Danio rerio: one gene and its partner. The protein of the gene in region 2 binds, or shares a complex with, the protein of the main gene of each other region. Links are inferred from orthologs where the notes say so. Each region holds a gene or a part of one and is shown on either strand. Other genes may lie near its edges.

Region 1 (4,141 bases), on a different chromosome or scaffold from region 2:
CAAAATAATAATTGAAGGGGATTGAAAAATATTAATCGTTTTAATGCTGATGTTTTAACAGGAATTAGGAGATTGGATGACATTAAGAGCGGTCTATCAGCTACTGTCATCTGAATTCTCATACCGAAAAAAATTGCTTTGAAATATGTAAAATAATCGATGAGCTTACGCGCTTCTTTGATGATGTACAACCAAATTATGATAAAACGTTATAATATATGTATATATTTGAAATAATACATGTATATATTTTATGTTTGAGTGAAACTAAACTATTCAAAATAGCATTGTCGCTCGTGATTAGACAGTTTCATGCCAGTTTTTCCCTTAATAAACGATTACCATTTATTTAATTAAATAATTATATTTTAAATTAGTTAAATATAAAAACTAAAAGAAATATAAATGTAATTGTTTAAAATTATGAATATGCTTTGATATCTGTGCAACTAACAAAAGACAATTTATGAGTTATCTGTTTATGCATAAAATAAACAAAAAAAATAATTAAAATTAAGCTTTAACTATTATATTACGAGTTACATCAAAAATTCTTCGATTTTTATTTATTATAACCTAATAATATAATTTATTAATGTAACCTTTATTATAATGTTATTATAACCTTATTCATTATGTAATTTATAAATGTAACCTTTTGCATTATTATTAGGCAAAACGTTACCTTTAGGTAAAAGATTTTAAAATTATGCAATTCAATGCATATATACTGTAAACCTAATTTATTATTATTATTTTTTTAGCAGTATAAGTAAAACAAAACACTAAATTTAATGATGAATTAATGATAAAATGTAATGTCAAACTGCTTTGTATATTGTTTACATTGTAAAAAGGGCTAAAGAATTAAAGATAAACTAAATTAACTGAAATGTACTTCATAATTTTTTCTTTATTTTTCAAGAAACCCTTAGTGTTACTGTATATTTTAGTTCTTTTTTTTAAATTCCTTCTACAGTGCGGAGCACCAATTGGCCACAAATTGTCATAATGTTGGCCCGCAAAGGTCTTTTGCCTGATGGGTTCTTGTTAACGCGACTCGCTGAAGATGCACAACCCAGCCGCATCCGGCCAAAGTCACAAAGGGCACGTTTTATCACCAAGAGCGGCTCATGTAATGTAGCCCACAAGAATATTCGAGAACAGGTGAGATTTTCCTATCAGTTCTAGGCTAAAGAAAAGTTTCAATTGACTCAGTTGCAGTGTTCATAAGAGATTATTGCTTCTCAGGGTCGGTTTCTCCAAGATGTGTTCACCACCATGGTGGACCTGAAATGGCAGCATTCTTTGCTCATCTTCACCTCAGCGTTCCTCTGCTCCTGGATGCTCTTTGCCATGGTGTGGTGGCTCCTGGCATTCGCTCATGGAGATCTAGAACCTCGAGATCCCAATGAACCCGGACCTGTGCCGTGCGTCACATCCATTCACTCCTTCACTTCTGCTTTTCTGTTCTCCATTGAAGTGCAGGTAAGGATCAATCTGGATAGATATGACTCTGTTTCCATCTAGAATTATTATGACATGCATTTTCAGTAATCTAAATATTTTAGACTCCGCATACATTTTTATTTAATGTCATCCACTTGTGATTGGACTGACTGAAACGTAATACTAGTTGTCAAAACTGAGGGAGAATAAACAATGTAATATTTTTGGTAAACTATACCTTAACAGCGCTGAACAGGATGTGAAGTAGAAGTTGACGTCAATCTTCTGTGGAGGCGGGGCTTATCCACTCTATTACATCATAGAGTAGAACATTCAAGAATCTGTTATCTTCAGACTGCCTTCAATATAATCTGTATTTAGAGGAACCACAAAGTGTTCAGTTCTAAAACTTACAGGATATTTTTAGAGAACTATGAGCTCTTATATGTAAAAAAAAAAAAATTAGGTGATTTTTAGGTTTCACAGTTCATGACCCCTTTAAATCGTCTGTAAGATAATGAAGCATTTGTAATACCAGGTAACTATTGGTTTCGGAGGACGAATGGTGACAGAGGAGTGTCCGCTGGCCATCATAGTCCTCATCATCCAGAACATTCTGGGCCTGATCATCAACGCCATCATGCTTGGCTGTGTGTTCATGAAGACAGCTCAAGCCAACCGCAGAGCAGAAACCCTCATCTTCTCCCGCAACGCAGTCATTGCCCCAAGGAATGGCAGACCGACATTGATGTTTCGTGTTGGAGATCTGAGAAAAAGCATGATCATCTCTGCCAACATACAGCTGCAGGTGACAGATGTGTTTATTTCTTTACTGATGTATTTAAATCATTGAAGAACCTTAACATCCACAGAACCTTCTATTAGAGAGTTCTTCATTTTAGTCCTTTAGATCAGTGTTTCTCAACCACGTTTCTTTGAGGACCACACGCTTTGCACATTTTCCATGTCTCCTTAACCAAACACACCTGATTCAGACCGTCAGCTCATTAGCAGAGACTGAAAGACCTGTAATTGGTTTGACGGACAAAGGAGACATCCAAAACATGCAGTGTTGGTGGTCCTCCAGGAACGTGGTTGAGAAACACTGCTATAGATCTTTAATATGTCCTTCAAACTAAGGTTATTTAATCATTATTTTATCACCAGGTTCAGACAACATAAAAGCAAGGCATTTGATGTCAAAATGATGGCAGATATGTAGCTTTAAAGATAGTATAAATTCTGCCTTAAAGGGACAGTTCACCTTAAAATTAAAATTCTGCCATTACTTGGCAGAATGGAAATCTATTCAGGCATCTTGAATGCAAGAATTTAGAAATTCGACATGGAGAGTGATTTTCATACACATTGATTATCATAACAAACACAAATTATGTGAAGTGTGAGCCAAAAATGCTTTATATATCATGTCTGTACCAGATATTCTTGAGTTTGATTCCATCCTGATCTTGATATTTGCTCCTCAGGTTATTCGGCGGACAGTGACAGCGGAGGGCGAAGTGATTCCCGTCTGTCAGTTAGATATCCAGGTGGAAAACCCTCTCAGGAGCAACGGCATATTCCTCGTCTCTCCACTCATTATCAGTCACACCATTGACAGAGGGAGTCCACTGTACGAGCTCTCAGCGCAGTCAATGGCTACCGAAGATCTGGAGATCATTGTCATTTTAGAAGGTGAATAGAGTCTACTTTCCAGTACTGGGTTGTGGCTAGAAGAGCATCTGCTGCATAAATCATATGGTGGAATAGTTGGCGGTTTATTTCCCTGTGGTGACCCTTGATAAATAAGAGACTAAGCCGAAGGAGAATGAATGTTTGATTGAATAGAGTCTGCTTAATGTAATTGTTTTGTTTAAAAGCCAAAGTATTTTTAAGGGATTATCATAGATAAGCTCTCTAATATGTGACCCTAGAGTACAAAACCAATCATAAGTGTCAATTTTGGGAAATTGAGATTTATACATGATCTGAAAGCTGAATAAATACATTTGTCATTGATGCTGAGATGCAACTATTTCAAAATCTGGAATCCGAGGGTTTAAAAATATCTAAATATTGGGAAAGCTGCCTTTAAAGTTGTCTAAATTAAGTTATTAACAAAGCAGGCCTGTAGCCAGGGGAGGGTTTCAGGTGGTTCAGAAGACCCACCCCTCATTGACAAAGGCCCATAACTACTATGTCATAATAAGTTGTGAAAATAATCCATGGAAAAAGGCTTTAACACCATGTGGAATCCTGTGTTGGTTGTTGCGTCAGCATGACTGAGGAAAGTTGAATGTGCGGGACGGTTTGCTTTTTATGTTAATGATATTTAAATAACAATAGGCTAAAGTTTTTAATTTAAAACTTTAACAAATTCCTATTTTTTCTAATGATGCAATTGATGTATATGATGTAAATGATAATTGATGTAAACCTTAACATCAAAAATGTGGTTATGATGACCATCAAACAAGCTAATCCAGCAAAAAAATAGTGCTTAAAATGTTACAAAAATGCAACTTATTTTAACCTCATAATTACATAGAAAAAAATTAGGCGAATAAATGCAAAATGGTCAACTTTTTAAGAAAAAAGATCCACACCCTTCACCAGGCTGGCTACAGGCCTGTAATGCATATTACTAATTGAAAATTAAGTTCTGACATAGTAGACTCTTATTAAGAGTATT
Region 2 (3,655 bases):
TCCTTATCCACGAAAGTAAAGTAAGAGTAAAAGTAAAGAGGTTGAATGGAGGAGACTCATGTTTTATCCTTACTGCATTTAAGGGAAGCATTCAGTTTTTTCTTTCACAAAGTCCGCTATGTAAATCGCAAATGCACCATGGCATGACTCTTAAATGTAATGCAAGATGAGACTCTGATTGGTTTAATGCACAATATGCTCAAAACACACCCATAACTAATTAAGAGAATAAGCTCAACCCTGTTAGACCATGCACTGGGGCGCAAAACATATTTTTTCGACCTTAAAATAGCAAAATGTGGGTTCGGACACACCATGCGCTTTAGACTTTGTGCTTGGATCATCAAAATAGAGCCCTAGGAGAGTTGCAAAATAGGCTTATGTTTAAAAAAGTCAAGTTTAAATCTGAACTAACAAAAATTAAAAAAAGAAAAAAAGGTCAAACCTAATAACAACAGAAAAAAACGAACATGACAGTACTGAGGAAAAGACGTACTGAAGTTATTGGCGAGTAAAGGAGAGGCAGAGACAGGAGCCTGAGAGAAATGCTCTCTTCTGCTGCGCTGCTGCTTCAGATTCTGAAGAAAAAGAAGAAAAAAAAAACATTATAATAATTCACTCATTAAATTCAAGTAGTATACAACAGAATACAGCTTGCCTGAAAGCTAAAACAAACATGAGGACAATGATAAGAGATAAATCGGTCAAAGTTTTATTTTTTTCGTTTTTAGTCAGTCTGCCCCGTTTTTTGCTTTCTATTGTTTTTGGCATCTTCACATTGATCATAATTAAAGTGCATTGGCTGCCTCCAATTTGAAATCTAAAAGTTCATTGTGAAAAAGCAAATGGACATCTAGTTTGTGAAGTCATGTTCCCTATTAATCTTTTATTGAGTTAAAAATGCTTTTCAAAAATGGCGACAAGAATTGTCAAAACTAACCATAAGGCTTCTTTTACACTGTGCCTCGCCCTGGTTATCATCATTCTAACCACCACTTTTAACTCCTGGGGACTGCACTATGAAGCTAGATTAGCTGGATAGCCAGTTATGCTTCTGTTTAAATGACACCATGAACATAACAAAGGTAGCTCAGCTGCTCCATAATACCAAAGATTTATTTGAGTCAAGCTGCCTTTATGTTACCTAAAACCCAAGACTGGTGCATCGCTTAGTTGGTTAGCAAACTAATCCATCTTCATGGTACAGGCCCCGAGGTCATGTCGAACCAATAACAAGAAATGAGCATCATGTAACCAGCAGTCAGTGAGAAAAAAGCAAGTAATATTAAAAGATGTAAAGCGTGTAAACTGGAGTGATTAGGAGATGTTCAGATGACAAACTTTGCTTTTTTGTAATTGATGACACGTTAACATACGCCGTGTAAAAGGTTACCTGTTGTTCGTCTAATCAGCAACATTGACAATGCAAATGAAAACATTGGATCGCACTTTATTTTGATGTTCCGTTTGTTGAATTTAAGTTACATTGCATCTACATGCCAACTGATTCTCATTAGATTATAAGTAGACAGTTAGGTCGGGGTTGGGGTTAATGTAAGTTGACATGTACTTGCCATGTTTCCTATAGTCAGTTAAATGTCTGTTGAAGGAGCATATCAACAGATATTAAGCAGACAGTCTACTAATACTAAAATGGACCATCAAAATAAAGTGTTACCAAACATTGACACTGTGTTTAGGACTGTTTAGTGCGAAATGTCTGTTAACGAATACCCCAGATTATTCATTAAAGCCAGGTGTATTAAGAGTAGTGTGAAACTTGATTATAGATAACCCAGGATTCAGTTTATCCAGGATGTAGGATGACTACAGGTTAACGGTTTCAAGCGTAAAAAGCGGTATAGATGCACTGTAAACACTTTTGTATTGTGTAACTAAAGCACAGAATAAACATAAAAAAAAAAACATCACAGAAATGATGACATTATTAAATTATTAAGTGCTACAATTGCCACTTAGCAATGGACCTTTTTCACAAGGATGTTATGACCTATATAATGGTCATCATAAACTGAAATACAGGAATATTTTGACTTTTAAAAAATTATAATACGCAAGTACATTTATATGCATTTCCGCATGTACACAACCTGACAAAAGTCTTGTCGCCTATCCAAGTTTTAGGAACAAGAAATAATAACTTGACTTCTAGTTCTTCTAGTTAATTTTCTACCAGAAGTGGCTTATATAAAATGCAAAGGCCTCTAGATTACGCTTAATTTACCAAAATAAAATATGATCATGCTTTGATTTTTAATCAGTGAATTAGGACAGTAAGTTCCGACTTTGCTTAAACAAAAGACTTGTCACTTAACAGAAATAATGTACAGTATACAATATAAAGCCATGGTTTACTCCATGATGCAGAGGCTGAAGTATGAAAAGGATCGATATCCTGCTGATCTTTCACACATCTCGCTATCTCTCACGCCCCCATACTGAATGTAACCCCAAACCATGATTTTTCCTTCACCAAACTTGACTGATTTCTGTGAGATCAACTAGAAGTTGAGTTATTATTTGTTGCTCTTAATACTGGGATGAACAACAAGACTTTTGTCAGGTAGTGCATTATTTAATCTTTGCATCAAATTACCTCTTGTGCGTTTGTAATGCAGCGTGTATGAGCAGAACAGTAAATTTGACGTTGTTCTCTCTTCTGGCTGCTGTTATCAGTCTCACATAATTTTTTTGCTTATTCTGAAAGTTTTGATAACACCATTGTTGAGTCTTTATTTTATTATTTCAACAAATAGTTTGTTGAAATAATAACCATTCACTGAGCTCTAGGTTTACCCAAATGACGACTTCCGCTACTTAGAAATCCAGAAATATGAATTGAATCCACACAAAAAAAAAGCAAAAAGAAAAAAAAAAGAAATGATAAATACATAAAACTCACCTCTGTTCTCACTTCCAGAACTGACTTGAAATCATTGGACATTGATGCCAGCTTAGACTGCAACACAAACATTCCCAGATAAGACTGTTTACATGGTGAACTGTATTGCGTCAGAAAAATGAAAGGTGTGGCGGCTTGTCAAGTCATCTGATGTCAAGCAAAACGAGATCCACCACCCCTACTGTCTACAGCGCAGGAAATGTAAGATAAACACAGAAAGAGTGGAATGTCAGATAGGAAAGTGTACCTGCAATGAGACGACAATTGTGTTGGAATGTGTCTGTATGTGGCGGCCATTTTGCCCACTGCGGGATCGCACAAGGTCTTGCAGCTGTGCTATCTGCTTATTCAGACTGTTGATATCCTGATGCGAGGGACAGACAGATAAAAAAAGAGACTGCATCAGATCACTGCTAGAGGCTTGATCTTATACAGGATTCTAGTAAACAAAATTATCAACACTTGCCATCTTTAACATCAATGTAAGGACAAGCAGGTACTGAGATGTTTTTCATTGCACTGGATATGGAGAATGACAAGTCTTTACCAACCTGTTTAATGATGTATGTTAGCTCCTCAATCTCCACTGCTTTATCATCAAACAAAGACTTCCTTTTGGCCACTAAAAATGAATGGAGAATAAAACATTACATTGACAGCAGACATGAACAATGCAATATCTAACAGTTACAACAATATCTGGTTATTACAAACAGGTCAACATTACAAAGA

Evidence for each region.
Region 1: stx5a (region 2) and bet1l share a complex: the UniProt entries of both Homo sapiens proteins name them as parts of the SNARE complex. The link is inferred for Danio rerio from reciprocal best matches to the Homo sapiens genes STX5 and BET1L.

What each region holds. Positions count from the first base shown.
Region 1 is NC_133200.1:8,372,323-8,376,463, forward strand, and holds the start of bet1l (BET1-like protein), read right to left. Parts: upstream 2,937-4,141; 5' UTR 2,887-2,936; intron 2,258-2,886; coding exon of another isoform or gene 1,988-2,257; 5' UTR 1,985-1,987; intron 1,821-1,984; exon of another isoform or gene 1,759-1,820; 5' UTR 1,688-1,758; intron 1,527-1,687; 5' UTR 1,489-1,526; coding exon of another isoform or gene 1,252-1,488; intron 1,168-1,251; coding exon of another isoform or gene 1,012-1,167; exon of another isoform or gene 980-1,011; intron 1-979. Other genes in the region: kcnj11l (potassium inwardly rectifying channel subfamily J member 11, like), read left to right, coding at 1,012-1,167, 1,252-1,488, 1,988-2,257, 2,937-3,144. UniProt on the Homo sapiens protein: Vesicle SNARE required for targeting and fusion of retrograde transport vesicles with the Golgi complex. Required for the integrity of the Golgi complex.
Region 2 is NC_133189.1:9,156,844-9,160,498, reverse strand, and holds part of stx5a (syntaxin-5a), read right to left. Parts: intron 3,546-3,655; coding exon 3,475-3,545; intron 3,288-3,474; coding exon 3,171-3,287; intron 2,981-3,170; coding exon 2,924-2,980; intron 579-2,923; coding exon 497-578; intron 1-496. UniProt on the Homo sapiens protein: Mediates endoplasmic reticulum to Golgi transport.